Caenorhabditis elegans: one gene and its partner. The protein of the gene in region 1 purifies or fractionates together with the protein of each later gene. This does not show direct contact. Each region holds a gene or a part of one and is shown on either strand. Other genes may lie near its edges. The genes, in order: W02H5.8 and H27M09.5.

Evidence for each region.
Region 2: the proteins of W02H5.8 (region 1) and H27M09.5 fractionate together in Caenorhabditis elegans (co-fractionation; one large-scale study listed by BioGRID). This does not show direct contact.

What each region holds. Positions count from the first base shown.
Region 1 is NC_003283.11:2,640,129-2,658,153, forward strand, and holds W02H5.8 (Triokinase/FMN cyclase), read right to left. Parts: upstream 12,530-18,025; 5' UTR 12,516-12,529; coding exon 12,423-12,515; intron 11,417-12,422; coding exon 11,215-11,416; intron 11,072-11,214; coding exon 10,523-11,071; intron 8,941-10,522; coding exon 8,207-8,940; intron 7,196-8,206; coding exon 7,037-7,195; 3' UTR 6,927-7,036; downstream 1-6,926. Other genes in the region: W02H5.2 (SOCS box domain-containing protein), read left to right, coding at 1-89, 2,574-2,952, 4,558-4,890, 5,952-6,251; angl-1 (Endonuclease/exonuclease/phosphatase domain-containing protein), read left to right, coding at 12,955-13,134, 13,325-13,502, 14,536-14,596, 14,653-14,795, 17,905-17,981.
Region 2 is NC_003279.8:6,843,449-6,857,868, forward strand, and holds H27M09.5 (uncharacterized protein), read right to left. Parts: upstream 3,512-14,420; 5' UTR 3,505-3,511; coding exon 3,462-3,504; intron 3,419-3,461; coding exon 2,436-3,418; 3' UTR 2,429-2,435; intron 1,813-2,428; 3' UTR 1,729-1,812; downstream 1-1,728. Other genes in the region: dpy-14 (Nematode cuticle collagen N-terminal domain-containing protein), read left to right, coding at 175-197, 596-734, 786-1,352, 1,405-1,644; syp-4 (Synaptonemal complex protein 4), read left to right, coding at 4,146-4,211, 4,257-4,353, 4,400-4,568, 4,639-4,922, 4,978-5,183, 5,245-5,824, 5,871-6,014, 6,061-6,332; rpb-5 (DNA-directed RNA polymerases I, II, and III subunit RPABC1), read left to right, coding at 6,976-7,035, 7,081-7,511, 7,557-7,701; sacy-1 (RNA helicase), read left to right, coding at 7,933-8,100, 8,147-8,306, 8,436-8,565, 8,643-8,855, 8,903-9,056, 9,174-9,310, 9,356-9,428, 9,477-9,650 and 4 more; ATP-dependent RNA helicase glh-1, read left to right, coding at 11,364-11,403, 11,461-11,895, 11,939-12,013, 12,062-13,312, 13,361-13,464, 13,511-13,692, 13,741-13,945.

The DNA of each region.
Region 1 (18,025 bases):
CATGTCTATCGATATAGTGCTGTTGGACTTGATACTGGTGTTCTTATTGCGTCGGTGTGCATGATTGAGGGAAATGTCATTTTGGATAGGTTGGGTTTTTAAGAAAAACGAAAAAAAAATTAAATTTTTTTTCGAAAAAAATTGAAAAAAAAATGATAAAATTCAATTTTTCGGTCAAATTTTTGTTAGATTTTTGATGAGAAATGCCGATTTGCCGGTAATTTTCAAATTCGGCAATTTGCCGATTTGGCGGTAATTTTCAATTCCGCCAATTTGCAGACTTGCCGGAAATTTCAAATTCGTCAATTTGCCGGTTTCCCGGAAATTTTCAATTCCGGCAATTTGCCGGTTTGCCGCAAGTTCTCAATTCCGGCAATTTTCCGATTTGCCGGAAATTGTCAATTCCAGCAATTTGCCGGTTTCCCGGAAATTCTCAATTCCGGCAATTTGCCGATTTGCCGGAATTCTCAATTCCGGCAATTTGGATAGGTTCGGGCCGGGATTTTACTTGAAAAAAAAAGAAAAAAATTCGATTTTTTTCGAAAAAATTGAAAAAATCAGATTTTTCAAAAATTTTCAAATTTTTTGACATTTTTCTTATTTTTTAAGAAGGAATTTATATGTTTTATTATATTTTTGTTTCTGACAATTTGCCGGAAATTTGCAATTTCGGCAATTTGCCGGTTTCCCGGAAATTCTCAATTCCGGCAATTTGCCGATTTGCCGGAATTCTCAATTCCGGCAATTTGGATAGGTTCGGGCCGGGATTTTACTTGAAAAAAGGAAAAAATTCGATTTTTTTTCGAAAAAATTGAAAAAAAAAATGATAAAATTCAATTTTTCATCAAATTTTGTTATATTTTGATGAGAAATGCCGGTTTGCCGGAAATGTTCAATTCCGGTAATTTGCCGATAATTGAAAATTGAAAAATGGTCAGAAAATTAATTAAATTTTAAATGTTTCTAAAAATTCTAAAATTATCAACTTTGTAAAAAAAACCGATATTTCGTTTAAAAAACTCAGATTTTTCAAAAATTTTCAAATTTTTTGTCATTTTCCTTATTTTTTTAAAGAAGGAATTTATATGTTTTATTATATTTTTGTTTCTGACAATTTGCCGATTTGCCGGAAATTCTCAATTCCGGCAATTTGGCGATTTGCCGGAAATTCTAAATTCCGGCAATTCGGCGATTTGCCGGAAATTCTCAATTCCGTCAATTTGCCGATTTGCCGGAAATTCTCATTTCCGGCAATTTGGCGATTCGCCGGAAATTCTCAATTCCGGCAACTCGTCGGTTTGCCCGAAATTCTCAATTCCGGCAATTTGGCGATTTGCCGGAAATTCTCAATTCCGGCAATTTGCCGACTTGCCAGAAGTTCTCAATTCCGGCGATTTGCCGATTTGCCGATTTACCGGAATACATAAACAAAATTTGACTAAAATATTGAACTTTATGACAATTTAATTTTTTTTAATCCTAAAAAATATTTTTTTTAATTAAAAATTTTTCGATTTCAGAAACATTTTTTAACGGATTTTCAATTTTCCGGTCAAAAAAAAGTTTAGAAAATCAACAAAAAATTAAATATTTTTTGAATTTTTGACAAAAATAGGGAAAATGAACCTTTTTGATTCTTGAAAAATAGAAAAATGATCAGAAAATTAATAAAATTTTCAATGTTTCGATATATAATTTTTTTTTTGAAATATCGAAAATTTTATTAATTCTCTGACCATTTTTCTATTTTTCAAAAATCAAAAACGTTCTTTTCCCTATTTTTTTCAAAAATTCGATATTTCGAAAAATATTTAATTTTATGTTGATTTTCTAAACTTTTTTTTTTCACCGGAAAATTGAAAATCCGTTAAAAAATTTTTTTTATGAAATCGAAAAATTTTTAGGATTAAAAAAAATTAAATTATCATAAAGTTCACTTTTTAAGTCAAATTTTGTTTACGTATTCCGGTAAATCGGCAAAGCGGCAAATTGCCGGAATTGAAATTTCTGGCAAATCAGGAAAATTGCCGGAATTGAAATTTCTGGCAAATCAGGAAAATTGCCGGAATTGAGAATTTCCGGCAAATCGGCAAATTGCCGGAGTTGAATTTTCCGGCAAATCGGCAAAGTGCCACAAACAAAAATATAAGAAAACATATATATTTCTTCTTAGAAAAAAAAAAGAAAGATGACAAAAAATTTGAAATTTTTTGAAAAATCTGATCTTTTTAAACGAAATATCGGAATATTTCTTGAAAGTTGATAATTTTAGAATTTTTAGAAAAATTATGTATGTTTTTCGCAAACCTAACAAAATTTCAAAAATATAATTTAATTAATTTTCTGACCATTTTTCGATTTTCCCGAATTTTCAACAAAAAAAAATCGATTTTTCGAAAAATCACTTTCAAAATAAATTTTTAATTGATTTTCTGAACGTTTTTTTCGAAAAAAAAAATCGGGAAAACGAAAATTTCCGATTTTTGAAACAAAGAAAAATTAAAAATGGTTTTAAAAAAAATCAATAAAATTAAAAAATTTCAAAAATTTTAAAAAATCGTTATTTTTTCCAGTATCCGCCTACGCTATGCCAGCCCGATCAGCGTCGTCGAATTTCTCCCCGAAGTGTCGAATAACGTCCAACGCCTTCTGATCTCCTCGTTCATGGGTCCCGCTCAAATTTGGCGCCTAAAATTCTCGAACGACAAGCTGACATGGGAACAGGAGTGCACATTCGAACGATCCCAATACTACGATTCGATCATTTGCGCTTGCGTTTATCGATTTTATCACGGCGCACCGCCCGTCGTGCTTTTCGGCACGTATTCCGGACGAATTTTGCAGTACGAGCTGCCGCCGCCGACGAAATTCGTTCGGAAATCGATGAAAGATGTCCCAAAGTGCGGGAAACCGATTAATTTATTGATTAATCATGGCATTTATTTTATTCGAGTAAGAAACGGAAAAATCCGAAAAAAAATTGCCTCAAATTCAGAAAAACCACAAAAAAATTGCGAAAGAATGAAAAATCCACATTTTTTTTGCTAAAATCCCTTCATATAGGTCCGCCGACCAATCAGCGACTCGCTCCGCCCATTTTTGAACCAATAAGGTGCTGATTGGCCGAAAAGTGGGCGGAGCGAGGCGCTGACTGGTCGCCAACCTCATTTGAAGGGATTTTAGCCAAAAAAAGGTGGATTATTCATTCTTTCGCGTTTTTTTTTCAAATTTTGACTAACATCCCTCCAAAATGAGGTCGGCGACCAATCAGCGACTCGCTCTGCCCATTTTTCTACCAATCAGCACCTGGTTGGTTGAAAAATGGGCGGAGCGAATCGCTGATTGGTCGCAGTTCAAGTTTTAAAGGGAATTTGGCCAAAATTTGAAAAAAAATCGCGTTTTTCCTTTGATTCCCCGAAAACCCAAAGAGAAAAGTCTCAAATTCAGAAAACCCCAAAAAAATCGCGAAAAAATGAAAAATCCACCTTTTTTTGGCTAAATTTCCTTCAAATGAGGTCGGCGACCAATCAGCGACTCGCCCCGCCCACTTTTCGACCAATCAGCGACTTCGAGCTCTGATTGGTTAAAAAATGGACGGAGCGAATCGCTGATTGGTCGCAGCTTCGAAGCATTCAATTTTTTCGATTTTTTTGGATTTTTTGAATTAGAGACTATTTTGAAGCAATTTTCATTAAAAATTACTGCCAGAACAAAAAAAAACTTGGTTTTTCTGAAAATGGCAGTTATTTCAACTGAAAAATTTGAGAAAATGCTCAAAAATGGCCTAAAAGTTGCCAATTGCCGGTTTTTTGCCACTTTCAGACCAATTTTTAGCACTTTCCCAAGTGTTTCAAATGAAATTAATGTAATTTTCTTGGCGAAATTGAAATTTCCGGCAAATCGGCAATTTGCCGGTATTGAAATGTCCGGCAAATCGGCAAATTGCCAGAATTGAAATTTCCGCAAATTGATGGAATTGAAAATCCGGCAAATCGGCAAATTGCCTGAATTTATGATTTCCGGCAAACTGGCGAAAATGAAAATTTCCGCCAAATCGGCAAACCTGCGAATTGCCGGAATTGAAATTTCCGGAAAACTGCAATTTGTCAGAATTGAAATATCGGAAAATCGACAAATTGCCGGAATTGAAAATTTCCGGCAACTCGGCAATCCGGCAAACTGACGGAATTTAAAATATTTGGCAATTTGCCCATTTGCCGGAAATGAAAATTTCCGGGAAATCGGCAAACTGCCGAAAATCAACTTTTCCGGCAAATCGGCAAATTGCCAGAATTGAAATTTCCGGCAACTGGGCAAAATGCCGGGTTTGAAATTTCCGGCAAATTACCGGAATTGAAAATTGCCCAAAATCAAAATTTCCGCGAAATCGGCAAACCGGAAATTTGCCGAAAATCAAAATATACGGCAATTTGCCCATTTGCCGTAAATGAAAATTTCTGGGAAATCGGCAATCCGGCAAATTACCTGTATTGAAAATTTCCGGCAAATTACCAATTTGCCGAATTTGCCGAAAAAAAAACAACATTTTTCTTCCAGCAAACGGGTTTCAACGAGATCGCCTCCATCACACCATTCGGCCTGTACATTCTTCGCGAAAACTTTCACGCCTCCAAACGCCTGGGCAAATTCGGACAATTTTGGCTCAACAGGCTCCAAAACCGGCTTCTCGTCAAAAATCCGGGCTCAATCGACGATTTCAGTGCCGCCGAAATTCGCCGTCTTTCGATAGACTCGGCTCAAGAACAAATGCGGCCACGCATTGGCTCTACCGTATCACAGCTCACATTCCGGTACTCGGACGATGATACGCTTCTGCTGGAGAAGGGAGGAGAAAAGCGACGGCAGACACTTGGAGCACGAGATTTTCAGGTCTCACCACGATTCTACTCGAGGAAAATTGGCAAAAAAATTCGATTTTTTTTAAAATTTTTTCGAGAAAAACTTGCCGGAATTGAAAATTTTCGGCAAATCGGCAAATTGGCGAAAATGAAAATTTCCGGAAAACCGGCAAATTGCCAAAATTTCTTACCAATTTCTAATCGAGGAAAACTGAGAAAAAACTTCTTTTTTTCAGAGAACAACGACAAATTTTAATATTTTCAAATATCGATTTTATTTTTTAATTTTTGTTAATTTTTGTGAAAATCGGAAAATCGAAAAATTTTAGGCTTTTTTTCCGAAAAATCGATTTTTTTTTTCATTTTTCCGAAAATCGAATAAGAAAACTTTTTTGGTCTTCGGCCGCTCGAAAAATCAAAAAAAAAAAGTTTTTTTTAATTAAAAACTTTATAAAACATATAAATTCCAAAAAAAAAAAATTCAAAAAAAAAGTTTTTTATTTCTTAAAAAAATAAAAACGAAAAATTTTGCATTTTTCCGAAAATCTGAAAACAAAATTCAAATTTCTCCTAAAAACAAAAATTGGAAAAAAAAACCTGCATTTTAAGCTATTACCGAAGAATTGATTTTTTTTTTTGAAATTTTTTTATAAGATTTTCCGGAAAAACGAAAAATCGGAAAAACAAAAACGAAGAAGTATACAAAAAATAATCGAAAAAAAATGTTTAAAAAATTCTATTATCTCTTACATGAGAAATACGCAGCATTTTAAGCTGTTTTTCGAATTTTTTCAGAACTTCGGTAGAAAAAAATTTTTTTGATTTTCTCGGAAACCGAAAAATTAAAAAAAAAACCAAAAAAATGTACAGAAAATTAACAAAAAAATTTTTTTTTAAAATCAATTTTGTTCAAAAAAATGTCCCATTTTTACGAAAAACGACAATTTTTGATCTTTCGGAACATCGAAAAATCGAATTTTAGTGAAATTTCGGCAAACCCGAAAATTTGAAATTTTCCGAATTTCCAAAAATCGGAAAATTTGGCCATTTTTCCTTAATAACCTGAATAACAAAAAAATTCCAATTTTCCAGCGCGGAGCCACTCAATCAATGTCGGGCTCTTCAAATGGATCATCAACTCGTTTTCGGCCACTCGACGTCAACGTCTCAGATCTCTACTACCAAGACGGACCATCATCAGCGGATCCTTCTACTCCAAATCGATCTGCTCAATCTCCGCGCCCCAATGCTCCGCTGCTTCACGATACTCACCCACCGCAGAGCCCGTTGGCTTCAGGCGGCGGCGGCGGCGGCGAGAATCGCCCTCAGCCTGTCTTCTTTCGTGCCATTAACAAGAAGCTGAGCTCTCCGACGCCCCGAGTTCAAAAATAATCACTTGTTTAATTTCGTAAAAAGTTATAGCGGCTCAAAAAATGGGCTAAAATTTGTTTTTTTTTTAGCTAAAATTTGAAATTTGACCAACTTGTCAGCGGCTGGAAACTAACTTTTTTGAAATCACCATCTAGTTTTGGGTATGTAAGTTAATTAACTTGCGTTTTCAACTTGATTTAGGTACATTTAAGGTCGGCGGATCACCAGGCGTTACCAAATTTTACAAAATCTGAATCGACTTTAAAGGTGGAGATCAGGAAAATGAGTTTTTTACTTTAAAATGCTCATTTTCCTGATCTCCACCGTTAAGGTCGATCCAGATTTTGTAAAATTTGGTTATTTCTGGTAATCCATCGGTCTTTAATGTACCTAAATCGAGTTGAAAACGCAAGTTAACTAACTTATACACCCAAAATTTGACGGTGATTTCAAAAAAGTTAATTTCCAGCCGCTGAAAAATCGGTCAAATTTCAAATTTTAACTAATTTTAGCCCATTTTTTGAGTCGCCATAACTGTTTTTTGAGAAGTTTTCAAAAAGTTTCATTATGAAATTCGGTGTTTTCAGACAATTTTGAGTTTAATAAAGCAATTTTTATTAAAAATCGATTATACCACCTTTAAAATGTGTATCTTCTTATTGTGCATTTGTCTATTTATTTATTTATACGATGATCTTTATTTAAAGTATTTTTTATTTCTCGACACGAAATTTTTAAATTTTTGCTCAAACTATGTATATGGTTTTATTATCCATTTTTCTCTATCTCTCTCTCTCGATCTCTGATCATTTTTCGCTTTTATAAGCCGTCCAGCAAGCTCTAAGCCAGAGTGAGATTGCCGTGGCCCCTGCATCAGGCTTCGTTTGGGCTTCTGACGATGTGTAGCTGGCACGGCCCACGGTTGCCGTTTGGCTTGCAGTCGCTTTCGCCGCTTTTTCGGAAGCCTGCAAATTATTAATTTTCAAAATAGGCCTAAAACTCAAAAATTCCACAGAAAAAAATCGCGAAAAAAAAGGAAAATCCAACTTTAAAAAATGTAATTTTTCAATTTTGGCTGATAAAATCGCTTCAAAAAATCCAAAAATAGTTTCGAATTCAAAAAAAAAAAAGGACTTTTTCTCATTTTTGGGTGAATTTTCTCCAAACGAGAACTGCCACCAATCAGCGCATCGCTCCGCCCACTTTTCAGCCAATCAGAGATGTGATTGGTTGAAAAGGGGGCGGAGCGAATCGCTGATTGGTGGTCGTACTCAGCCAAAATTGCGTTTTTGTGGCTTTTTTCTGAATTCGACACTATTTTGGATTTTTTGAAGCGAAATTTTCATTGACGTTACATCCTAATTAGGCTAAAATTCAAAATTATCGCAAAATACAAATTTCTGGTGAATTCCCCCCAAAACCAGAACTGCGACCAATCAGCGATTTGCTCCGCCCACTTTTGAACCAATCAGAGCTCTGATTGGCCCAAAAGTGGGCGGAGCGCATCGCTGATTGGTCGTACGCTTCATTTTGGTAGGTAGGTTCTCAGCCCAAGTTGAAAAATCAAACTTTTAAAAACGAGATTTTTAAAGATTTTCGGCTAACTTAAATTCCCTGTTTGAATTCCCTCCAAAATGCTCAACTACGACCAATCAGTGCGTTTCGCTCCGCCTCCTTTTCAACCAATCAGCACAATGTGAACGCTGATTGGTTCAAAAGTGGGCGGAGAGATGCGCTGATTGGTCGTAATTCGCATTCATGAGGGCACTCTTCCAAAATTGAATTCCCTTCAAAATGCTTAACTACAACCAATCAGCACATTGCTCCGTCTTCTTTTCAACCAATCAGGCACTATGGGCGGAGCTCGACCAGTCGCTGATTGGTCGCGAGTTTCATGTTGCAGAAAGGGCTGGATTTGTTATTCTTTCGCGTTTTTTTTGTGGTTTCCCCGAATTTCAAACATTTTCCCAACCCACCTTAACCGCCGCCTCGAAGATCGCATCCAACGATTCCTCATTCCCACTGAATCCCTTTCTCAACTCCTCGACCATCGCATCCAATCCATCAACCATCGTCCGATCTCCGACTCTCGCGCCTCCGTACTTTTGAACCGCCCGATTCGCCTTGTCCAACGCCTCCAGAATCGACGTTCGATCGATCTTTTCTCCTCTTTGCGATCTTTGAGCGAAACTCTGCGCCGCCGAGCTGAACATCAACGCGTACAGCGCTCCACTGGTTCCTCCGACGGTTTGCTCAAAAATGATGGAAAGCTGCTTGAGAAGTGTCTCCGGATGAGTGTAGTTGAGGCCTGATGTCTGCTTGCGAATCGCTTCAGCTGCTCCGGCAAACGTGCTCCCACAGTCTCCGTCACCGGCGTACGCGTCGAGTTGATTCAGATGTTTCTCGGATTCCAGCATCGCATCCACAACTCCTCCGACGCATGCTTCCACGAGCTGGGCATTCACAGTTACTCCAGACGCTGGAATTTCTGAGATTAGGTCGCCTTGGGACGACGAATCCGAAATTTCCTGATGATCTACACATTTTTGTACTGAAAGTGCTGGAATCCATCCCGGCGCCGCCGCTGGAGCATCCAAGTACTGTAGCATAGAGTCATCGGCTCTCAGAATGGTGACACTGACGCCATGACCGTCTAAAGATGTCATGTAGATACCGCTGAAGAATCGAGTGATTCCAATTTTGTGATCTTCTGAAAAAGTTGGATTTTTTTTACAAAGATCGGGAGCAGCGTGGGTGTCGTCGAAAAAAAACAATTTTCGATTTTCCCGAAATTCGGAAGTTTTGGGTAGGCGGCAAACGATTTTTTTTCCAGCAAATTGGCAAATTGCCTGAATTGAAAATTCCCGGCAAATTGCCTAACTTGAAAATTCCCTGCAAATTGCCGATTTGCCGGAAATTTCGATTCCGGCATTTTGCCGATTTCCGGAAATTTTTCAATTCCCGCAATTTGCCGGAAATTTCGATTCCGGCATTTTGCCGATTTCCGGAAATTTTTAATTCCGCCAATTTGCCGATTTGTCGGAAATTTATATTCCGGCAATTTTCGAATTTGCCAGAAATTTTCAATTCCGGCAATTTGTCGATTTGCCAGGAATTTTCAATTCCGGCAATTTGTCGATTTGCCGGAAATTTTCAGTTCTGCCAATTTTACCAATTTTGCCGATTAAAATTTGAAATTCTGAAATTTCCAAGAAAAAAAATGTGCAAAACTACAATTTGCCGGAAATTTCAATTCCGGCAATTTTACCAATTTTGCCGATTAAAAATGAAATTCTGAAATTTCCAAAAAAATGTGCAAAACCGCATTATGCCGAAAATTTTCGGCAAAGCGGCAAATTGTCGGTTTGCCGATTTCCGGAAATTTTCTATTCCGACAATTTGCTGATTTGCCGGAAATTTTCGATTCTGCCAATTTGCCGATTTGCCGGAAATTTTTAATTCCGACAATTTTACCAATTTTGCCGATTAAAATTTAAATTCGGAAATTTCTAGAAAAAAATGTGCAAAACCACAATTTGCCTGAAATTTTTAATTCCGGCAATTTTACTCATTTTGCCGATTAAAATCAAAAATTTTGAAATTTCCAGAAAAATGTGCAAAACTACAATTTGCCGATTTGCCGTAAATTTTCAATTCCGGCAATTTTATCATTTTTGCCGAATAAAAAATTTTGAAATTTCCAGAAAAAATTTTTTTTAATTTCCGGCGATGCGGCAAATTGTCGGTTTGCCGATTTCCGGAAATTTTCTATTCCGACAATTTGCTGATTTGCCGGAAATTTTCGATTCTGCCAATTTGCCGATTTGCCGGAAATTTTTAATTCCGACAATTTTACCAATTTTGCCGATTAAAATTTAAATTCGGAAATTTCTAGAAAAAAATGTGCAAAACCACAATTTGCCTGAAATTTTTAATTCCGGCAATTTTACTCATTTTGCCGATTAAAATCAAAAATTTTGAAATTTCCAGAAAAATGTGCAAAACTACAATTTGCCGATTTGCCGTAAATTTTCAATTCCGGCAATTTTATCATTTTTGCCGAATAAAAAATTTTGAAATTTCCAGAAAAAATTTTTTTAAATTTCCGGCGATGCGGCAAATTGCCGGTTTGCCGATTTGCAGTAAATTTTCAATTCCGGCAATTTGCCGATTTGCCGGAAATAATCGTTTGTTAACAAAAAAATTGCGTGATGACGTCACAATTTTCTGGGCGAAAAATTCCCGCATTTTTTGTAGATCACACCGATTTTAAGCTATTCCCTATTCCTCACCAAAATATCTCAAAACCTCTCCATTCACGATGTTCATCTCCAACTGCGAAACACTACCCAAATTGTTGACAAGAACCACAAACTTCTCGCCTTCCCGCATTTCCATCTTCGAGCGTAGTGTGTCCAACAAGCTGTGCACAATTCGATTGGCACTGCCAAATTGAGCACGAAATTTGCCCGGCTCACCGTGAATTCCCAGTCCTACTTCAATCTGATCGTCCGGCAACTCGGTCTCTCGATTTTTGCCCGGCAAGCTTCCCGTATAAAGTGACACGCCGAGTGTACCCATTGAGCTCACAACTTTTTGAGATGTCTCGTAGATCTCATCCAGCGATTTTCCTTCCCAGGCCATGGCTCCAGCAATTTTAATTGTTAAAACTGCACCCGCCAGACCTCTACGTCCAACTTTGCTATTCGGGCTGTCAATTGCCACGTCATCGGCGATCGTGACGACTCGAGCTGTGCCACCTGATGCGTTGAATCGCTCAGCCGCCAAACCAAAGTTCAGACGGTCTCCGGTGTAGTTAATGACGAACAAGATGGCACCGGCTGCAAAAAAATTCGGTTTGATCTACGTAGATCTACAAAAAATGCGGCAGAGTTTTCAACTGATTTTTCTTGGTTAAGAACGTGATGACGTCACATTTTTTGGGCAAAAAATTCCCCCGCGATTTTTGTAGATCAAACCGTACCTTCTCCTCTAGTGGCCTCCAATGCCGCCTGAACGTTCCTCGACGGCGGGGAAGCGAACACGTTTCCGGCAATTGCAGCGGTCAGAAGACCTTTTCCAACATATCCGGCAGCATACGGTTCGTGTCCTGAACCACCTCCAGCTATCAGGGAAACGTGGTGCGAGGGGTTGAGATCGGTGATGTGAACAACTCGTCGGCAGCTCTGAAATGTGCCGGGGCTTGTTATTATCTTGGAATTGGGAGATTTTTGTGCCAAAATTACGGTGACCGGTCTCGACGCGACATCTTCTTGATTAGTGATAAATACAAAAAGGCTATGCGCCTTTAAAGATTACTGTAGTTTTAAACTCGCGTTGCACGTGGTTGCAGAGTGTCTCATTTAGGTTTGATCTACATAATTCTACAAAAAATGCGACAGAGTTCTCAACTGATTTCGAATGGCTAGGAACGTGTTGACGTCACATTTTTTTGAGCCAAAAAAAATTCCCGCATTTTTGTAGATCAAACTGTAGTGAGACAGCCTAGCACCACGTGCAGAAGTACGGTGACCGGTCTCGACACGACAAGTTTTTGATTTGTGATGAATACCCAAATGTGTGCGCCTTTAATGCTTACTGTAGTTTTAAACTTGTGTAGCTGCGAAATTTTTGTCGATTTTTCACGGTTCTTTGATATAAATATATGCAAAAATGAAAAATCAATAAAAAAAATTCCGCTGCTGCAAAAGTTTGAAATTACAGTAATCTTTAAAGGCGCACACCTTTTTGTATTTAACAAAAATCAAAAACTTGTCGTGTCGAGAGAACGGATACCAAAAATTGGCTCTTGAAAAACCGAAAAAAAAGGCAAAATTCCGCAACGAGTTTGCAAGTACAGTACTCTTTCTATCAAAAATCGCAAAGTTTTGCATATGGGTAATATTCAATATCATGAGAACACAGAATCTCTGAGAATGCGTATTGCACAACATATTTGACGCGCAAAACGTCTCGTAGCGGAAACTACAGTAACTCTTTAAAAGACTACTGTAGCGAGCTGTTGTCGATTTACGGGATTTCGATTTTCGAAACTGATTAAAGCCCGTAAATCGACACAAGCGCTAGTCATTTAAAGGGTTACTGTGGTATTCGCTAGGAGAAATTTTGCGCGTCAAATATGTTGTGCAATACGCAGCATTCTCAGAATTCTCTGTTCCCGGTAATACTAACCTTATGAAATTTGACATTCGAATTCGATGAAACCAGTCCAAAAAGCGCATCGTCGACAGCTTCCTCCGCTTTGTTCACAAATTTCTTCGACATTTTTATTAGCCCAACTGAAAATGAATTAGGATGGGAAAATAAGAAATTTTTAAAAAAATATGACAATATGGTCACGGAGAAAACACGACGTGGGGTGATTGTGTTGATAAGATAGGATTTTTTTGTGTTCATTGATCAATTTTTGGCAATTTGACAACAAAAATGACCACTGTTCAAAGTACAGAAACACGGGCTTCTGGCCATCCTCATTGAACTTCTTGCGCGCTCCATTTACAATCGCCCGCCGGACAACGCGTGGGAAAGTGTCGTGTACTCCACACGGACAAATACGTTTAGTTTTACAAGCCGCGACGCGACACGCAACGCGCCGTAAATCTACCCCGAGCCAATATGGCCTAATTCGGCAAACTCTTCCTTTTCAATTAAGAAGAGGGAAGCCAGAAGTGTGTGTGTGCAGACATTGAGAATTTTTGCAGGCATGCCACGCCAGCCGCGGCCAAAATCCAAACGACCTACGGACCAGCGGAGCACGCGTGGTGGTGCAGGTGGTAATGGAAGAGTTTTCAAACGTGGCGCCGCTAGCGGCCGCGGCCACGGCCACAGAAGATCATCGCAATACACGTGGAACAAATTTTTGGCGGATGATGATGCCGCGAATGTTAGTGGTTAACCACACACGTGGTGTCTGGCTGTTCAGTTTGACCTACAAAAAATGCGGGAATTTTTCGCTCCGGCAAAATGCGACGTAACTCCCGCGTTTTCTGTAGATCAACGTAGATCAAACCGAAATGGGACAGTCTGACACCACACGTGGTTAAAGCATCTGAGCGCATTTTCGATATTTCTAGCAGCAGCTTCCGGCTCCGATGTACAGACCGCCACCGAAACCCATCAAAACTATTCGTCTCGGCGATGATGAAGCGACGCCCGGATCATCATCATCACCACCATCCCTACATGCACCATCATCCGTAGATCAGCAGCAGCAGCAGCCGACAACGTCGTCGAATTTTTGTGCTAGTTGGTGTGAGTTTCACACAGACAACGGAGGATCTGCTGAAATAACATTGGCTTTCGCATATTACGGGAACACAAAATTCTGAGAATTTTGCGTATTACACAACACATTTGACGCGCAAAATATCTCGTAGCGAAAACTACAGTAACCCGTTGAATGACTACTGTAGCGCGCTGGTGTCGATTTACGGGATCTCGATTTTTTTCGTATTTTACAATATTTTATCGGTGTATACATTATTTCCGTAAATCGACACCAGCGGCGCTACAGTAGTCAATTAAAGGGTTGCTGTAGTTTTCGGTACGAGATATTTGCCCGCGTCAAATATGTTGTGCAATACGCAGAATTCTCAGAATTTAGTGTTCCTGTAATAGTTTTTGTTGATTTTTCATTTTTCATTTTAATTCGTTTGCAAACGCATATATGTCGTAATTTCACAAAATTTCAACACGCCTTTTTAAAGGCGCATGAATTTATTGAGACGGGTCCCGGCGCGCAAAAAAAAAGTGTAGTATCTCCCTTGCATTTTTCAACGAAAATACTTTGGGATTTTCGTCGTTTTCTTTGCATTTTTCCGTTAAGATTGTTTTAACTCATGTCAGTTTCAAAGTACAAATCAGGTGTGGGCGGCAACCGATTTTTTCCGGCAAATCGGCATGTTGCGGGAATTGAAAATTTTTGGCAAATCGGCAAATTGCCAAAAAGGAAATTTCCGGCAAACCGGCAAACTGCCGCCCACTCGCTTTTTTTGTGTGTGTTTTTTTTTGTACTCTGAAACTGATTTTTAAAACAATTTTCAACAAGAAATTCGCTAAAATATAAGTAATTTCAATGAAAAATGCAAGAAAAACGGCTACCAAAAAAAATTTTGCGCGCCGAGACCCGATATCTGAATAATTCTGTGAAATTACGATATATACAGTGAAGAATATGCGTTTTAAAGCAAAATTAAAATAAAAAATCAATAAAAACTGCGAAATTCGCGAAAAAGCTTGAAAATCAATAAAAACCGCAAAAAAAATCAATTTAATTTATTTAAAGTGGCAAAAAACCAACACCTGACACGGACGAAAAAAGTGGAAGAGGTCGTTTTGGATGAAAGGTACATCTTAAAATGCTCTGAACTATTGTAGAAACCGCCGAAAAAAATAGTTTTAGACCCACGGGCTCCCAGGACGACAGCATTATTGTTCTCGACGATGACATTTTCGAAAAAACGAGAAAAAAGAGCTCAGAGCCGAGGGATCTGAAAAAAAAAGTTTTTGGCAGACAGGAGCCGGGCACGACCGTCGGCAGAATCGGTAAATAAATTTATTTTTAATTCCGACAATTTGCCGGTTTGCCGGAAATTTTCATTTTCGGCAATTTGCCAATTTGCCGGAAATTTTCAATTCCGACAATTTGCCGGTTTGCCGGAAATTTTATTTTTTGGCAAATTGCCAATTTGCCGGAAATTTTCATGTTCGCCAAATTGCCGATTTGCCGGAAATTTTTCAATTTCTGCAATTTTCCGATTTACCGGAAATTTTCATTTTCGGCAATTTGCCAATTTGCCGGAAATTTTCAATTCCGACAATTTGCCGATTTGCCGGAAATTTTCAATTCCGACAATTTGCCAATTTGCCGGAAATTTTCAAATCCGACAACTTGCCGATTTGCCGGAAATTTTAATTTTTGGCAAATTTGCCGATTTGCCGGAAATTTTCATTTTCGGCAATTTGCCGGTTTCTCAATTTGCCGGAAATTTCAATTTTCGGTGATTTCCGATGAGCCGATTTGCCGGAAATTTTAATTTTTGGCAAATTTTCCGATTTGCCGGAAATGTTCATGTTCGCCAAATTGGCAATTTGCCGGAAATTTCAACTCCGGCAATCTGCCGATTTGCCCGAAATTTTCAACTCCGGCAATTTTCCTATTTGCCGGAAATTTTTCAATTTTTGCACTTTGCCGATTTGCCGGTAATTTCAATTCCGGCAATACACACCCACGCGCGCGTTCCCTCAGAAGTCTTCTAGTCGTTTTGACGCAGTTTGTACTTTTTTTTCTTCCAAAATTAAATCTAGAATCTCAGGAGATGTCCAGTCCAGCTTTATTACAGCATTTCTAGGCAAAATTTATAATTGTGGTGATTTTTCGCGTCTCATTTCAGTTTGATCTACAAAATATGCGGGGGAATATTTTTTCCAGAAAATTTGTGGTGACGTCAGCACGCTCTTAACCAAGCGTCTCTTCTCCCGCATTTTTTGTAGATCAAATCGAAATAAGACATTTTGACTGATTTCTGTGTAACAAACTTTTCTCTACAAAGTGACATATTTTACGGCACATAAATCGAAAAACTGACGATCCTGATACATGTTTAAAAGACACTGTAGTGAATCCTTTGTGTAAAATCTTCCGTTTTGAGCCAAATTTCATAATTTTACAAATGTTCGGTTTGTATGATGCTTCTGAACAATATTATAAATTTAAAAAATTAAAAATAATTTCCATAGAAGCCAAAAATAGCCAAAACTGCTGTCCCCGCGAAACGAATTCCCGCGAATTCTGGAGTTCGTGAGGGGTGCCGCGCGAGCGCGCTCTAATAATTATGAACACTCCAGGAGGCCGTGCAGTTTAGAAGATCAAAATTTCTAAATATTTATAACTCATTTAAATCGGAATTTTCCAGAAAACCACGTGTCGAATTCCCAATATTTGCCATTCCAACGCACCGTGTTTACCCACCACTTTTTGTGTGTTTATCTGTTCAATTATAAAAAAAAGAACAAAAAAATCTTTTGCTGATAACAAATCACATCGCCCTTTCTTCCCCAATTTTGTTTACTAGTCAGTTGTTTTTGAGATTTGGCTCTTATTTTTTTTCGAGAATTCTCTCTTGAGACAAAAACCGAAATTGACTGAATCAAAATGCTGAGATTTCCACGTGGAGTCAGAATGTCTCATTTCGCTTTGATCTTCGAAAAATGCGGGAGTTGAGACGTGGACATCAGGGGAGAGCGGCGATCGAAAAAAAAATCGGCGATCGGCGCTCACCTCTGGTGGACATCAGGGGTGTGCGGATAATAGCCGAATTAGCCGAATTAACCGATCGGCTGATTCGGCTAACTCGGCTAATATTAGCCGAATTATCCGTTAGCCGAATTTTGTACCAATTAGTCGAGTTAGCCGTCTGCCGACTTTTTGACAGTTCGGCTAATACGTAGTTATCCGTTAGCCGATTTTGGCCGTTGTTAGCCGAATTCGCCGATCGGCTAATTCGGCTAATTCCACTAAAACATTTTTTTGGAAAACAAAATGTGGTGAATTTGTATGATTTTTTCCTATTTGAACAGTCGTTCATCACTGAATTTGCTCAATAACAATGAAAAAATTAACCCAAAACCTGAATTAACAGAAAGAACGAAAAAAGCTTGACCAGATGAATTTTATCCGAATTAGCCGAAAATTAGCCGATTTGACCGATTGATTTTAGCCGAATTAGCCGTTAGCCGAAAATTTTGAAATTAGCCGTTAGTCGAATTATCCGTTAGCCGGTTTTCAAAAAATCCGCATTAGCCGATTTATCCGTTAGCCGAAAAAATCGGTTATCCGCACACCCCTGATTTCCACGTGGAGTCAGAATGTCTCATTTCGCTTTGATCTTCGAAAAATGCGGGAGTTGAGACGTGGACATCGGGGGAGAGCGGCGATCGAAAAAAAATCGGCGATCGGCGCTCACCCCTGGTGGACATCTCATCTGATTTCGCTCGGTTAACAGCGTGCTTTTCGTAGATCAAACCGCAATAAGACATCCTGACGACACCACGTGGATTTTTAGTAGATTTGAATTTGCAAACGGGGTTATTTTTAAGTTTTTCCACTTTTTGCACGTAAAAAGTTGTTTGCTGAGCACACCACCGCCACACCCTGTTCCGATGATTTTTTGGGGGGTTTTTCCTCGTTCTGCCGCACATCTTGAACCATTGTTGAGTAACAGTTTTACGTATTTTTGCTTGGATTAGCTCGAAATGTGCTCAAATGAACAAATTTTGTAGTGCGAATTCTTCAAATTTCAAAAAAAAAAAAAGTAAAAAGTATAAGCTGCCCAAATTGAAGATTTTAGCTAAATTTAGCATTCGAGATTCTAAGTTTTCCTTACAAAATTCGATCATTTGAGAAAATTTCGAGTCTATGCGAGCAAAAACCCCCCATTTTAATAACACTATTTGCCCATCTGCAACACTGTCTAGCTGAACAGTCCAGTAGAGCGCACTTGCTTATCTCGAAAGTTGGTCGGTCCCCCCCAATCCCCAGTTATCAGTTTTTGTTCTTTTTTTTTTTTTTTTGAAATAAGGCTACACGTTGTAGTTTATTTCTATTTTTTAATTCGATTTTTTTTTTTAATTTTTAAATTAAAATTATTTCAAGATTCCCAAGACGGCATTGTATTTGTTGGCGAATATCCTCGACGTGGCAGGACGATGACACAGCTGGAAACGAATATGGTGAGTTTTTCGGGTCTCGAAGCGACATTTTTTCTCTTTTTTTT
Region 2 (14,420 bases), on another chromosome or scaffold:
AATAATAATAATATCTTATCTTATCAGGAAACCGGATCACCTGATGAGACGGATAAGAGGGCAAGGACCTTTCGGAAAGGGATACTGTAGAATAGGCTCCGCCCATTCCGCTGGGGACATAAAAGGACATGGAGGTCCACGGGAAAGAGTAAGATTCCTTTTTCTTCAATCAAAATGGACGGAAAGGATCAACATTGGTGAGTTTATAATGAAATAATTATCGATACCCCCTTTTTATTGTTAATTTTAGTGAATTTTCAAAAAATTCAAAATTTTAAATTAAAAAAAAATTTATATGAATATTTTTTAAAACATTTTTTCCTATTGTAAATTCGAAAATATTACATTTATTATAGGATTTCTAGAAAAATCAGGATTACTAAGAGCATGAAAAAAGTAATTTATTCCCTGCTTCTTTCTGATTTTGAACCCGTAGGTGAACCCACGAGCATTTCTTTTCAGCTACCGTATCCGTGATTACTGTAGATTCAAAAATATTAAAATTCACGAAATCCGCATAAATACAGTCACGGGAAAACAGGACCTTTTTCACTCGAAGAAATTTTATTTTAAAACATGAAAATGATAATTTCAGCCACGCTCGTCGTATTGCCATCGCAGCAATTATTGTCTCAACATGTGCTGTTGTGAGCTCATTGGTTGCTCTTCCAATGATCTACAATATGGTTATCAGTATTCAAAGTGAAATCTCTCAGGAAACTGGTTTCTGTATGGTTAGTCAATTATTTTATTTTTTATAAAATCATTTATTTTTATAATTATAGATGCGTTCCCGTGACATGCTTGTTAACATGTATTCAACTGCTGGAAAGAGTGGATATCGTGCAAAGCGTGCTTGGCAATTCGGATCATGGGTTCAAGATTCTGGAGTCGGAGGTGGAGCCGGTGGATACGGTAGTGGACCAGCTGATAGTGGATATGGTGCACAAGGAACCAACAATGGATATGGACCAGTTGTTAATGCTGAACCAGAACCACAATGTTGTACATGCCAACAAGGAAAGGCTGGACCACCAGGACCACCAGGAGATGATGGAAAGGACGGAAATGATGGATCAGCTGGAAATGATGCTAAGAATGGAAAGGATGGAGGTGTTGGACCATCTGATGGACTTCAATCTGAACCATGCATGATCTGCCCACCAGGTGCACAAGGACTTGGAGGTGCTCCAGGAGCCAAGGGACCACAAGGACCACGTGGATCACCAGGACTTTCCGGTGTTGATGGAAGACGTGGAGAGCCAGGTATGTCTGGACCAGCTGGAACTCAAGGAGAACCAGGACCACAAGGACCACCAGGAAAGAAGGGAGATGATGGAAGAGTTATTAATGTAAGTTTTATAGTGTTGATGAGCTTTAACTGCAGCACAGGAAATATTTCAGGTCAATGGACCACCAGGAGCCGGAGGAGCCCCAGGACCACAAGGACGCAAGGGAGAACGTGGACCAAAGGGAGTTCCAGGATCAGTTCATCCAGGAGTTCAAGGACCAACTGGAGATCAAGGAAGAAAAGGAAGAGCTGGAAGAAAGGGAGAAACTGGAGGACAAGGACCAATTGGATCAAAGGGACCAAATGGAGATTGCTTCCATTGCCCAACTCCAAGAACTCCACCAGGCTATTAATTTCTCGTGGATTCTGTGTTATTTCAATAAATTATTATTTATTCAAAAAATTCTGTGTTGCATATCAAAGTTCAAAACATGTAATAGTTGGAATATTCATTTCAACTTTTAAAATAATCGGAAGAATATCAGTTCACTTGTACAGCAGGAGACGATTGATCCAGAAATCTGAAAATATTATAGAAGATGTGCTAAGAGGGGAAAATCTTAGAAAAGTAACACTTTTGAACTTTTTTATTTGTTGACAAAAATGATCTCATAATTTTGGAAGTCGATCAATTTTTTCTACGAATTTCATATTCTAACCATGTTCGAAATAATTGCATTCAAACATTTTAGAGATTAACTAGTAAGACATGCAAAATTGATTTCAATTTCTGGAAAATATCACCTTTTTTAATTTGGCAGTTCACCAACAAAACTTAGACTAAATAGAAATTTACAAAAATCTGGAAATTTTTTGTAATGTATTTTTCTGATATTCGATTATTTGACAGTAGCTCTACACCATCGTCAACTAAACTGTACAAATACTGAAATTTTATGAATCAAAAATTCCCCCAAACACCTAGAGACGAAGGTACTTCTTTTTCACAAAATTACGAGATATAACCATTTCTAGCAATCGTGATTTCGTGAATCCGTGAAATTTGGCTGAGACTGAGATCGTGGTGGGACCCACTTTAAAAAATCATATATCCTGTGTCCTTAAAGTGATTTCACGAGACTACTTACGATATTAAATATAACTCTTTTTCCAAAATACAATAAAAGAAAAACTAACCACATGTTCACTTTCTCTTTGATTTTCTCGATTCAACATTTTTCTTGGACGCCTTCTTCGAAATGATTTTATTTTTCTTTTCTGGTCTCACACTATTAGACCTTTTGGAAGGCGATTTCAATGGATTTCTCGTAGATTTTGCTGATTTTTTAGAAAGCGTTTTTGGTGGTTTTATTGTAGAAATCAACTTTTTCGTTGAGATTTTTGCTGATTTCTTATCCCCCGGAGACAATGGATCAGCCAAATAATTTCGTGAAATCTTTTTTGTGGGTTTTTCCTTTGAAGGAGATGTTGGTGGAAGAGAATAATATGATTTTGGATTATCATTTGATGGCTTTACAGCAGTGGAATATGTTGATTTTCCAGTATCCACATAAACTGAACGAACGTCATCAGAATTTCGTTTCTCATGTGGTGGATCCTCCACCTTGTCATCGTATTTCTTGTAATTTCGGTAGCTGTTGCTTTTTTCTACAGGCATTGATCTGGCTGACTTATGTGAATTTTCACGTCTTCTCTTTTCATCCCTATAACTACTTCTTCTGGATTCTCCATCTCTATCTCTATCTCTATCACCTCCTCTTCCAAAATCACGTCTACTTGGAGATTTCTCCATTTTATGAGCCGATACATTATTTTTCTTGCTCCGAGAGCTATCTCTTTTGTCCCTAGAACTGCCACGTTTACTTCCAGAACTGTGTCTCTTCTTCCGTTTGCTCCGTGAGCTTTTCATACTCTTCTGTCTTGATTTTTTCTTTTTAGAACCTTCTTTCCTGTCAGATCCATTATTGTGATCATTTCCATCTTCCTTATAATTTTCCTTTTCATCTTCATTATCACCCTTCTTTTCTCTCTTAGATTTTTTAGATTTCTTCGATTTCATTGATTTCTTTGACTTTGAACCTTTTCGTCGGAACATCTCACGATGCCCGGTAGTACATCCAAGCACCATCGTTGCACTAGTTAAAGTGGCAGTCACCATAAGACATACTGTAAAAGTTGCTTCAAAAGCTGAATCAATGAGTAAACCTACGGTAATTCACATTCTCGGCCATTTGTTCTGGCGATGAACTCATTTTGTGAACAAAATAGAAATAAAGATGTTTTGATCAAATGAAAAGGCTATGCAAACGACACATCCAGTTCGAGACGTTTAATTTTGATAAATTTATATTAGCGTCTTTTCCATCCTTCAGTGAACTTTCAAATCTCCCAAATATCGTAAAAGAACATCGGCTAGGTGTTACATATAGACCCACTTTTCAGGGCCGCGCGCACGCAGCCCCGATACGCAAAAATTAAGCTGTTGGCGAATCTCAACTCGAGACTGCCACACAGGTCAGCCCGCACCAAAAGTGCAATGGGTAGGCCTAACCATGGGGATTCCGCCTTTGTGATCGCGAAATAACCCCCAGCCAGGTAAGTTTATGAGCCTGCGGGTGGAGGGAGTAGTGCGATAGGGTGTCCCGACATTTTGCGGTCTCCGCTACTCACTGTGTTTAGTGTATATGAGGCGGATTTTGACGTGATGGCAATTTGCGTATTTTACATTTAAGTTTACGAGCAATTGCAGGTACAGTAACCTTTGATGTGCAGGCACGAAAAAAATCTCCATTCAAAAGTTTGTTGCTTTTAGGAGAAAACTGAACTTTTCTGTTTCTTTGTTCGGTACGGTAACCTCATTTTTCATCAAAATTTTTTATTTCAAGGCGAAATAATGTCGTTTCCGACGCTACAAGTACGTCCAAATGAGAAAAATCCAAAAGTTCTGCGATGCCATGAGGTATTTTTAATCTACAGACAATCAGTTGTAATCCTCTTCTTTCAGTTTCTTCGCCAATCAAATCAACTTGTGGAGCGAAACATGATCAACACGGAAGGAAGAAAAATGTTGGCAAAGTTGCTGACGAAAATGGTATCCGAAGGTAAGATTCCCGATGGTTCATCGTTTTCCACTATTTTATTATTTAGCCAAAGGAATCTATGCATTAGATGAGAGACGCGCCGAGTTGGCAAAAAGTGGGAAACTCCAGGAGAAGCTGAAATCAGCTTATCAAACATCGCTGACAGTAATGGAAGATCGTCTACACATTGCTGAGCTATCTCGGCAGGTTCAAGAAAAGAAGCTGACAGTTCAGCAGTAAGTTTGTTCACATTAAAAGTAACACAATGTCTATTTTGACTCGAGTAAACCATTCAATTTTTTAAAGGAAATATTACGAATGTGACGACCTACGAAAATCCGTGCAAGAGACGAACACCGAGGCTCGACGAGTCCAGGAAATCAACGAACAGCGGCTTGTGGACACAACCAGGGCCACTGAGGAGCTCATCGTGAAAAGTGCCTCAATTCTGAAAAATCTAGAAAATTCATCCGACGTACATAAGCTTCGTGCAATGGAAGAGGAGAAAAGAATTCTAGAAGAAGTAGTGGAGGGGCTCAGAGATCAGAAGAAGTGTCTTGCCGATGATATCCGTACCAAGAAAGCTACATGTAAGTTATGAAGCATCGAATACACTTAATTTTTTGTAATATATCAAATTTTCAGTGAAAGCCGAATCAAAGAAATCGTTCGAAAAGACGGTAATTGAGTGTGCGAAACACTATAAACTCCATCAATCCTTGATGCCGAAGTTAGACAAATCGAAAAGAAGTTTGGAAACATTGAAGGACGAGGAAGAGAATCGACGAATTTGTGGAAGTCTCAGTCTGGATGAAACAATGCAGTTTGATCGTTCTTTTATTCTCGCGTCGGTATGTAAAACTAAATTTTATAAAGCCTAATTGCCTTTTCAAACTGAAATAATATTTACAGATGGACAAAACAAATAAGCCAGAAAAGGCCGTACAACAGTTAACTTCGAAAAGTTCGGAAGTTTCGATCACTCCACAGATAAGCGAAACCGCGAAATCTTCCTTCTCCAAAGAGCCAATTCCGACACAGCATCCGATGGAAGTTGGCGAAGAACCTGTAATCGAACATTCAGCTGAAGAAAGCGTTCATATTGAACCACCAAATGTCACTGAAATAAGGGAGGTGGTACCACAAATTACCATTCAGCCTACTCGTCAAGACAGCGTCGTTCAACGGGATGCAGAAGAGTTAGACACTTCAGCAGTTCCAAGCCCCCAACCGGAATCAATCCTAGATGAGCCCGAAGAAGAAGAAGAAGAACTTAGCAATCATGAAAATCATGCCGATCAATCGATGGATGTAATGGAAGTAGATCAGGAAGTACCCGAGGAAAGTCCCATGGAAGTCGGTGAGCAAGAAGAAATTGAGCAACCATCTGTATTCAAGGACATTCTAGCCACGGAGCAGGCTGCACTCTCCCAGGAACAAGAACCAGAGATCGTTGAGAAGCAGGCAGACAATGATGTTCAGTTTGTTGATGGTAAGTGTTTTACTTGGCAATAAACATTGAGTTATTCATTTCGCAGATCAACAAGTGGGAGCACAACTAGATGTAGAAGACGAAGAAGAAGTGATGAGCGAAAACGGTTCCAACAAAAGCAATAACTTCTCTTTTAACTTTTTTGGGAATAGCAAGGGTACATCAGCGGGAGAAGGTGGCGGTGAAGGCAGTAAGTTATGAAACACGTGAAATTAAAAAAAACTCCATTTTTATAGACTTCGACTTTAATTTTGACGGAATTGGAGCAGGAGATGATGGTTCGAACAATGGTGGTTCTACTGGAGATCTGGATTTCCTTAACTATGACGGAGAGGATGAAGGAAAGGGTTCGGGAAACACTCAATCCGATCCGTTCGGATTTGCATCAAATGGTAACGCAGCTGGTGGAGGTGGAGATGGATCGTTCAACTTTAACTTTGACGGTGACGGTGAAGGCGGAGCAACTTCTGGAGCGGGCGGAAACAGCACCTCGTTCTTTAACTTTTAGAAAATTATCATGTATTATTCAGCTCTTGTATCATTTGTATCGTTTAATGTCAGAAATTTTAGATTTTATTGGACCAAGAAATTGCCTCTTTTTTTTCTTTTTGAACAGCAAAAATATACATAATATAAAGTATTGATCATCTCATTGCGTTTTATTCTTTTTCACTTTAATGCTTTAAATGTATAGCTATTTAAATAATATTTATTCTGAAACAAACTCAAGTTCGCTTATGTTCGCAAAATTTTTGCTCGTAAAATCAGCAGCATTCGACGCAATGAACGATGCTCCGGTATAACGCTAACGAGCTTTGTTTAGCCATTGGAATTTTATTCGAAAAACGAAAATTGTCCTGTCAAATTTAGTGATTTTCATGTTTTTTTCCTTCAATTCTTTCCCACCAATTTGAATATGAGACATTGCAGCAATCTCCCTTCTGATTATTCAATTTAAATTGTTGGTATACCATAGTTTATGTTTTTCCTGTTAACCTCAATGTTTATTATTAATTAAAAGAGGTTGTTATATGTTCAAAGTTACACTTAAAATTGTGATGAGACTAAGACGAATTGTTCTTTATTTTTCAACCTTTAATGTCGGCGGAAAACTTTTTAAAAGTAGTTTATTGCAGAGACTAACAGTAATAATGGCTGACGACGAGCTTGAGACCTATAGATTGTGGAGAATCCGTAAAACAGTTCTTCAGGTAAACAAAATTTGGTATTTGCCATGATAATATGTTCATATTTAGATGGTTCACGATCGTGGTTATCTCGTAGCTCAAGATGAATTAGATCAACCATTGGAAACATTCAAAGTGCAGTACGGAGATCGTCCCTCTGAAAAAAAGCCGGCTCGCTCAGATCTGACAATTCTCGTGGCTCACAACGACGATCCAGCCGATCAAATGTTTGTTTTCTTCCCAGAGGACGCCAAAATTGGAATCAAAACTATTAAAGCTATCTGCCAGCAAATGCAAGAACAGAATATCTCCCGTGCTATCATTGTCGTACAAACCGGAATGACTCCAAGCGCCAAACAATCCATTGGCGACATGGCCCCAAAGTACATGTTGGAGCACTTTTTAGAGGCTGAGCTCATGGTAAACATCACAGAACATGAGTTGGTACCAGAACATGTCGTCATGACAGCCGAAGAGAAAGCAGAACTACTTGCTAGATAGTAAGTCTTCATATTAAAACATGATTATAAATATGATATTTTCAGCAAACTTAAGGATTCTCAGTTGCCACGTATCCAACAATGTGATCCGGTCGCTCGTTATTTTGGTCTCCGCCGTGGACAAGTTGTCAAAATCATTCGGCCATCGGAAACTGCTGGAAGATATATCACTTATCGTCTTGTGGTCTAAATCTTTTCTAAACCCCCTTGAACGTTGATCTTGGCCCAAAAATTTTCTGATTTTGGGTACCTTTGTTATTTTATTTTTTGTTTTTCCCGTTATTAAACCTATTTCTCTTGTATTTCAATTAAATCTTATTGGAAAATCGGTAGAATCCAATGCGACTTAAATATATACACAAGTTCAATTTTTTTAAGTATCTTAAAAAGTAGAACAGAAAAATTCGTTTAGTATTCCGAAATGAGCACAGATGTGGAAGCGGCGCGACGAAAATATGAGGACCGCCGGCGAAAAATTCAAGAGGAAGAAATGAAAGAACGCAGAGACGGCATGAATTTATCTTCTGGAGATGATGATCAAGACGTGGATGATATGTTTCTGACTGCATTACAGAGAAAACGAGAAAAAGTATTTGTGTAGATTAGTATTTTAAGAATTAAAAATTAAACTTTAGGTACATCGTCGAGCCCTACTGAAGCAAGTACTGGCTCCGACAATGAATCAAAAAGAAGAAATTGAAAGAAAACGAAAGAAAAAGGAAGAGGATAAGCAAAGTGAAGAAGCGAGAAAAACACTTTTGGAGAAACATGCTGAGATTATGGAGACACAAGGAGGTTATTTATTTAAAATAAGTTTATAAAATTAATGGACATTAATTGGGAATATAATTAGAAATATTCGATGTCTTTAAATATATTTCTGAAAATAAGGACGAAGTTTCATTAATAAATAATATTTTTCAGTTATTGACGAATCAGAACGGCAATTAATGGAAGAAGAAGAGTTACTTGATAAAGTTACACGTGGTGGAGGTCTCTTGGCAGTTGCTGAACTTACAAAAGGTGAAAAATATGAAGAACCAATTGTCACTGCGTAAGTTTTTCAACCCCAATTTTCCTCACTGTAGAATAGGAATTCTTCGTCGAATTAATAATTCATAAAAACTTCAGTTGGCGTCCACCTGGACACATCCGTCGTCAATCACAAGAAGACTATGAAATTCAACGAAAACGTCTTGGAATCAGTTGTGAAGGTGATCATATTCCACCGCCAATCGGCAGCTTCTTGGAAATGAAATTTCCAAAATCATTGCTCGAATTCATGCAAAAACAAAAAGGAATTGTGACACCGACAGCTATTCAGATACAAGGAATTCCCGTCGCGTTAGCTTTAAAAATTCGATTACTTTCACTTTTATCGGTATTTTCAGACTTTCTGGTCGTGACATGATTGGTATTGCTTCTACTGGTTCTGGAAAAACAATGACGTTTGTTTTACCGTTAGTTATGTTCTGTTTGGAGCAAGAGATGAAACTTCCATTTATGCGTAGTGAAGGACCATTTGGATTGATTATTGTTCCATCGGTATTCTTTTTAAATTCAAAATCGTATAAACTTGAGTTCAAACAATTTCTGTTGTTAAAAAAACTTTAGCAAAATCCGTCAATAATTCCGTTTTTAATTTTGAAATATACTTTTCAGAGAGAATTGGCTCGTCAAATCTTTGACCTGATCATTGAAATGTTTGATGCTCTTGGAAAAGCTGGACTTCCAGAAATGAGAGCTGGATTATGTATTGGAGGAGTCCCAATTGGCGAACAAGCTAAAGACGTTAGAGAGTGAGTGATTAGAATTTCGAATTTTATGATTTTCATTATTTTCAGTGGTATTCATATTGTTGTTGCGACACCAGGACGACTATCTGATATGCTTACCAAGAAAATTATAAATTTAGAAGTAAGACATAACTTCAAAGATTTCAAAAATTGCTTCAATTTATTACAGGTTTGCCGTTACTTAGTTCTAGATGAAGCTGATCGAATGCTTGATATGGGATTTGAAGATGAAATTAAATCAATTTTCTATTTCTTCAAAGCTCAACGGCAAACTCTCCTTTTCTCGGCTACGATGCCACGAAAGATTCAATTTTTCGCAAAATCAGCACTGGTCAAACCTATTGTAAGTTTTATTTATGCAATCGAGAAGTTTCAAAAATATAATTTTTTAACCTACTCCCAAAAGTTGTCATTCTTCAATTCTTAAAGAATAATTTTTCAGGAGTTTGTCTGTAAATTATAAATATTTTAGGTCGTAAATGTTGGACGTGCGGGTGCTGCTTCATTGAACGTACTCCAGGAGCTTGAGTTTGTTCGATCAGAAAACAAATTGGTTCGTGTACTTGAATGCCTTCAAAAGACTTCTCCCAAGTAAGATTTTATTTATCAGAAAATAATTAATTTAGAAATATGGCAACGGTTTTATATTTCAGAGTTTTGATTTTTGCCGAAAAGAAAGTTGACGTTGACAATATCTACGAGTACTTGCTTGTAAAAGGAGTTGAAGTTGCTTCAATTCACGGAGGAAAAGATCAAAGTGACCGTCATGCTGGAATTGAGGCATTCCGAAAAAATGAGAAAGATGTACTTGTGGCAACAGATGTTGCATCAAAAGGACTCGATTTCCAAGGAATTGAACATGTTATCAATTTTGACATGCCTGAAGATATTGAGAACTATGGTGAATTTCTTATTTATTTTTCATAATTGAATTTTTATTTTCAGTTCATCGAATTGGTCGTACCGGACGTTCCGGACGGAAAGGTCTCGCAACGACATTTATCAACAAAAAATCGGAGATGTCAGTGCTTTCCGACTTGAAACAATTACTCGCAGAAGCAGGGCAGGAACTTCCAGAATTTCTCAAAATGTTGGCTGGTGACGAGGAGGGAACTGCTCCAGCTGGCACAAATGCGGAAAAGGTAGTTAGAAAACATTTAGAAAATCGGGAAGTTCAACATGTTTTCAGGGATGCGCATACTGCTCCGGTCTGGGTCATCGCATCACAGATTGTCCAAAACTCGCTGGAATCGGAAACAAAACGACGCAAGCATTGGCAAGAGGTGGAGGCGACGATGGTGGTTTCTGATTATTTTATTCATACATTGTATCTCAATCTATTTATTTACTGTTTTCTTGTTTACATTTATAAAAATATTTGTCAGAATTGTACTATTTATTTCATGTTTAAAAAAAGTCTGGATTTCCGAGAAAACATGAAAATAATTAATTGATCGAGTTCATTGAAAAAGAAAAATGAATTAAATGCATTCTCAAAATTCTTTTTTTTAAAGGAGACACCACGGTTTCAAGATCTGATGGGAGTCCGGATCTACGTTTTCCGGATCTACCATTTCCGGATCTACGTTTTCCGGATCTACGTTTTCCGGATCTGGCACCGTGCAAACTCTTAAAACGCTATTTTTTCGAAGAAAAAAGTGACAACGACGCTCCGATGTTACGCGTCGCGTGTTGTTAAGCGTTTCTTCTAGAAGAAAATTTCGAAAAAAGTCGTGCGTTGAAAAGCGTTTTGTGCGTTGGCACGGTGCCAGATCCGGAAAACGTAGATCCGGAAAACGTAGATCCGGAAAACGTAGATCCGGAAATGGTAGATCCGGAAAACGTAGATCCGGAATCCCATCAGATCTTGAAACCGTGGTGCCTCTTAAAGAGTCGATTCTTTAAAGGAACACAGACTTTCACACCGTTTAGGTTTCGCCACGCGCCCCAACTACAGTAACCTCGACACACTCATCTACTAAATTTTGGGACAGTTCCTAATTCTTTTTGCTGTTTTCAACTCAATTTTCTGGAAAAATCTTAATTTTCTGCGAAAATGTCTGATGGTTGGAGTGATAGCGAAAGTGCTGCTAAGGGTGAGTTTTATTTTGAACTTTCCACCGGTTTTATTTTGATTAAAAACTTTATTTCAGCCAAAACTGGATTCGGTAGTGGAGGCGGTTTCGGTGGTGGTAACAATGGAGGATCTGGGTTTGGTGGTGGTAAAAATGGAGGTACTGGATTCGGTGGAGGAAACACTGGCGGATCTGGATTCGGTGGAGGAAACACTGGCGGATCTGGATTCGGTGGAGGAAAGACTGGCGGTTCTGGATTTGGAGGTGGAAATACTTGTGGATCCGGCTTCGGTGGAGGCAGTACAGGAGGATCGCCGTATGGAGGAGCCAGTTCTGGATTCGGTGGTAGTACTGCCACATCTGGATTTGGAAGCGGTGAAAAATCAAGTGCATTTGGAGGATCAGGTGGCTTTGGAGGTAGTGCAACTGGATTCGGAAGTGGAGGAGGATCCTTTGGAGGTGGCAACTCTGGTTTTGGGGAAGGAGGACATGGCGGCGGAGAGAGAAACAATAGTTCGTTTTTTAAATTGACTTTATATAATTACGTTTGTTTCAGATTGTTTCAATTGCCAACAGCCAGGACATCGATCGAGTGACTGTCCAGAGCCGAGAAAGGAAAGAGAGCCGAGAGGTTTTATTTTGATATAACTTTATTGGCAGTAATTTGTTTTATTTTCAGTGTGCTACAATTGCCAGCAACCCGGGCACACCTCTCGTGAATGTACAGAAGAACGCAAGCCGCGTGAGGGTCGCACTGGTGGATTCGGGGGCGGAGCTGGATTTGGAAACAATGGAGGAAATGACGGTTTCGGTGGGGACGGTGGTTTTGGTGGAGGCGAAGAACGTGGTCCAATGAAATGTTTCAACTGTAAAGGCGAGGGACATCGCTCTGCTGAATGTCCGGAGCCACCCCGTGGATGTTTCAATTGTGGCGAGCAAGGTCATCGCTCGAATGAGTGCCCCAATCCAGCCAAGCCAAGGGAAGGTGTTGAAGGAGAAGGACCTAAGGCGACATACGTGCCAGTCGAAGACAACATGGAGGACGTTTTCAACATGCAGAAAATTTCGGAAGGCCTTATGTTCAACAAGTTTTTCGATGCCGAAGTTAAACTGACTTCATCCGAGAAGACTGTCGGTATCAAACCTTGCAAGACATTCGCGGAAGCTAATCTCACGGAGACCATGCAGAAAAACGTTGCTCATGCTGGATACTCCAAGACCACTCCAATTCAGCAATATGCTCTTCCACTTGTTCATCAGGGATATGATATCATGGCTTGTGCTCAAACTGGATCAGGAAAAACCGCTGCATTCCTTCTGCCTATCATGACTCGTCTCATTGACGATAATAATCTGAACACTGCCGGAGAAGGCGGTTGCTATCCCCGTTGCATCATCTTGACTCCAACTCGCGAACTCGCTGATCAAATTTACAACGAGGGAAGAAAGTTTGCTTATCAAACAATGATGGAGATCAAACCAGTTTACGGAGGATTGGCTGTCGGTTATAATAAGGGTCAGATCGAAAAGGGAGCCACGATCATTGTCGGAACTGTCGGAAGAATCAAGCACTTCTGTGAAGAGGGTACCATCAAGCTTGACAAATGCCGCTTCTTTGTTCTTGACGAGGCTGATCGTATGATCGATGCTATGGGATTCGGAACTGACATCGAAACTATTGTCAATTATGACAGTATGCCGAGGAAAGAAAATCGCCAGACACTCATGTTCAGTGCCACTTTCCCCGATTCTGTACAGGAAGCAGCTCGCGCTTTTCTCAGAGAAAACTACGTGATGATTGCAATCGACAAGATTGGAGCTGCAAACAAGTGCGTCCTACAGGAATTCGAGAGATGCGAAAGAAGCGAGAAGAAGGACAAACTTCTAGAGCTTCTGGGAATCGATATCGACAGTTACACGACCGAGAAAAGTGAGTTTTTCGTTTTCTTATTTGATGAAATAAATTTCAATATTTCAGGTGCCGAAGTTTACACAAAGAAAACCATGGTCTTCGTTTCTCAAAGAGCAATGGCTGATACACTGGCTTCAATTTTGTCATCGGCTCAAGTTCCAGCTATCACGGTTGGTATATTTCATTTTTGACCGCTTTTTAATTCAAAATGTACAGATCCATGGTGCCCGTGAGCAGAGAGAGCGTTCAGAAGCTTTGAGACAATTCCGAAATGGATCGAAACCTGTTCTTATTGCTACTGCGGTCGCTGAACGTGGACTTGATATCAAAGGAGTGGATCATGTCATCAACTATGACATGCCAGACAACATTGATGACTATATCCATCGTATCGGAAGGTCAGTTATATTTTATTAATGTTTCAATAATGCAAGCATTGTTTTCAGAACTGGAAGAGTTGGAAACTCTGGAAGAGCTACAAGCTTCATCTCGGAGGATTGCAGTCTTCTGTCCGAACTTGTTGGTGTTCTCGCCGACGCACAACAGATTGTTCCAGACTGGATGCAAGGTGCTGCTGGAGGCAATTACGGAGCTAGTGGATTTGGGTCCAGTGTACCAACTCAAGTCCCTCAAGATGAAGAAGGCTGGTAGAAAACCGACCAATTGATAGTGTTTCGCATTTATTAATGCTGTCAGTTCCCCCATATTTTATCCTGCCCTTGTTGATTTTTAATTGTATTTGTTGGTGTTGGTTGTCGTTATAGTCCTCGCCGCATAAACTCTGTTCAATATCATGCTGTTCACGACTTCAACTATTAGTTGCATATTAAATGAAAAGAATTTTAACAAGCAAACTAGGCAATATGATCTCATATCACATTGCTCTCTCAGCTAATCAACTTCAATAATTTGTTTTCCGATTCTCCGCGGCGAGCATTTTTCCGCATACAGAAACTTTAGGCTCAATTCTTTATTTATTTTCTTTTTTGCTCTTCTCTCACTCGCTCATTTCCGGTCGATTTACATTCGTTTTTTCGCTTTCCTCTCACCTGCTTTTTTGCTCCCGTATTTTTTCTGTTGGCTTTGCCATTCCATTTACGGTTTGCTCAGTGATCACAATCAGGAA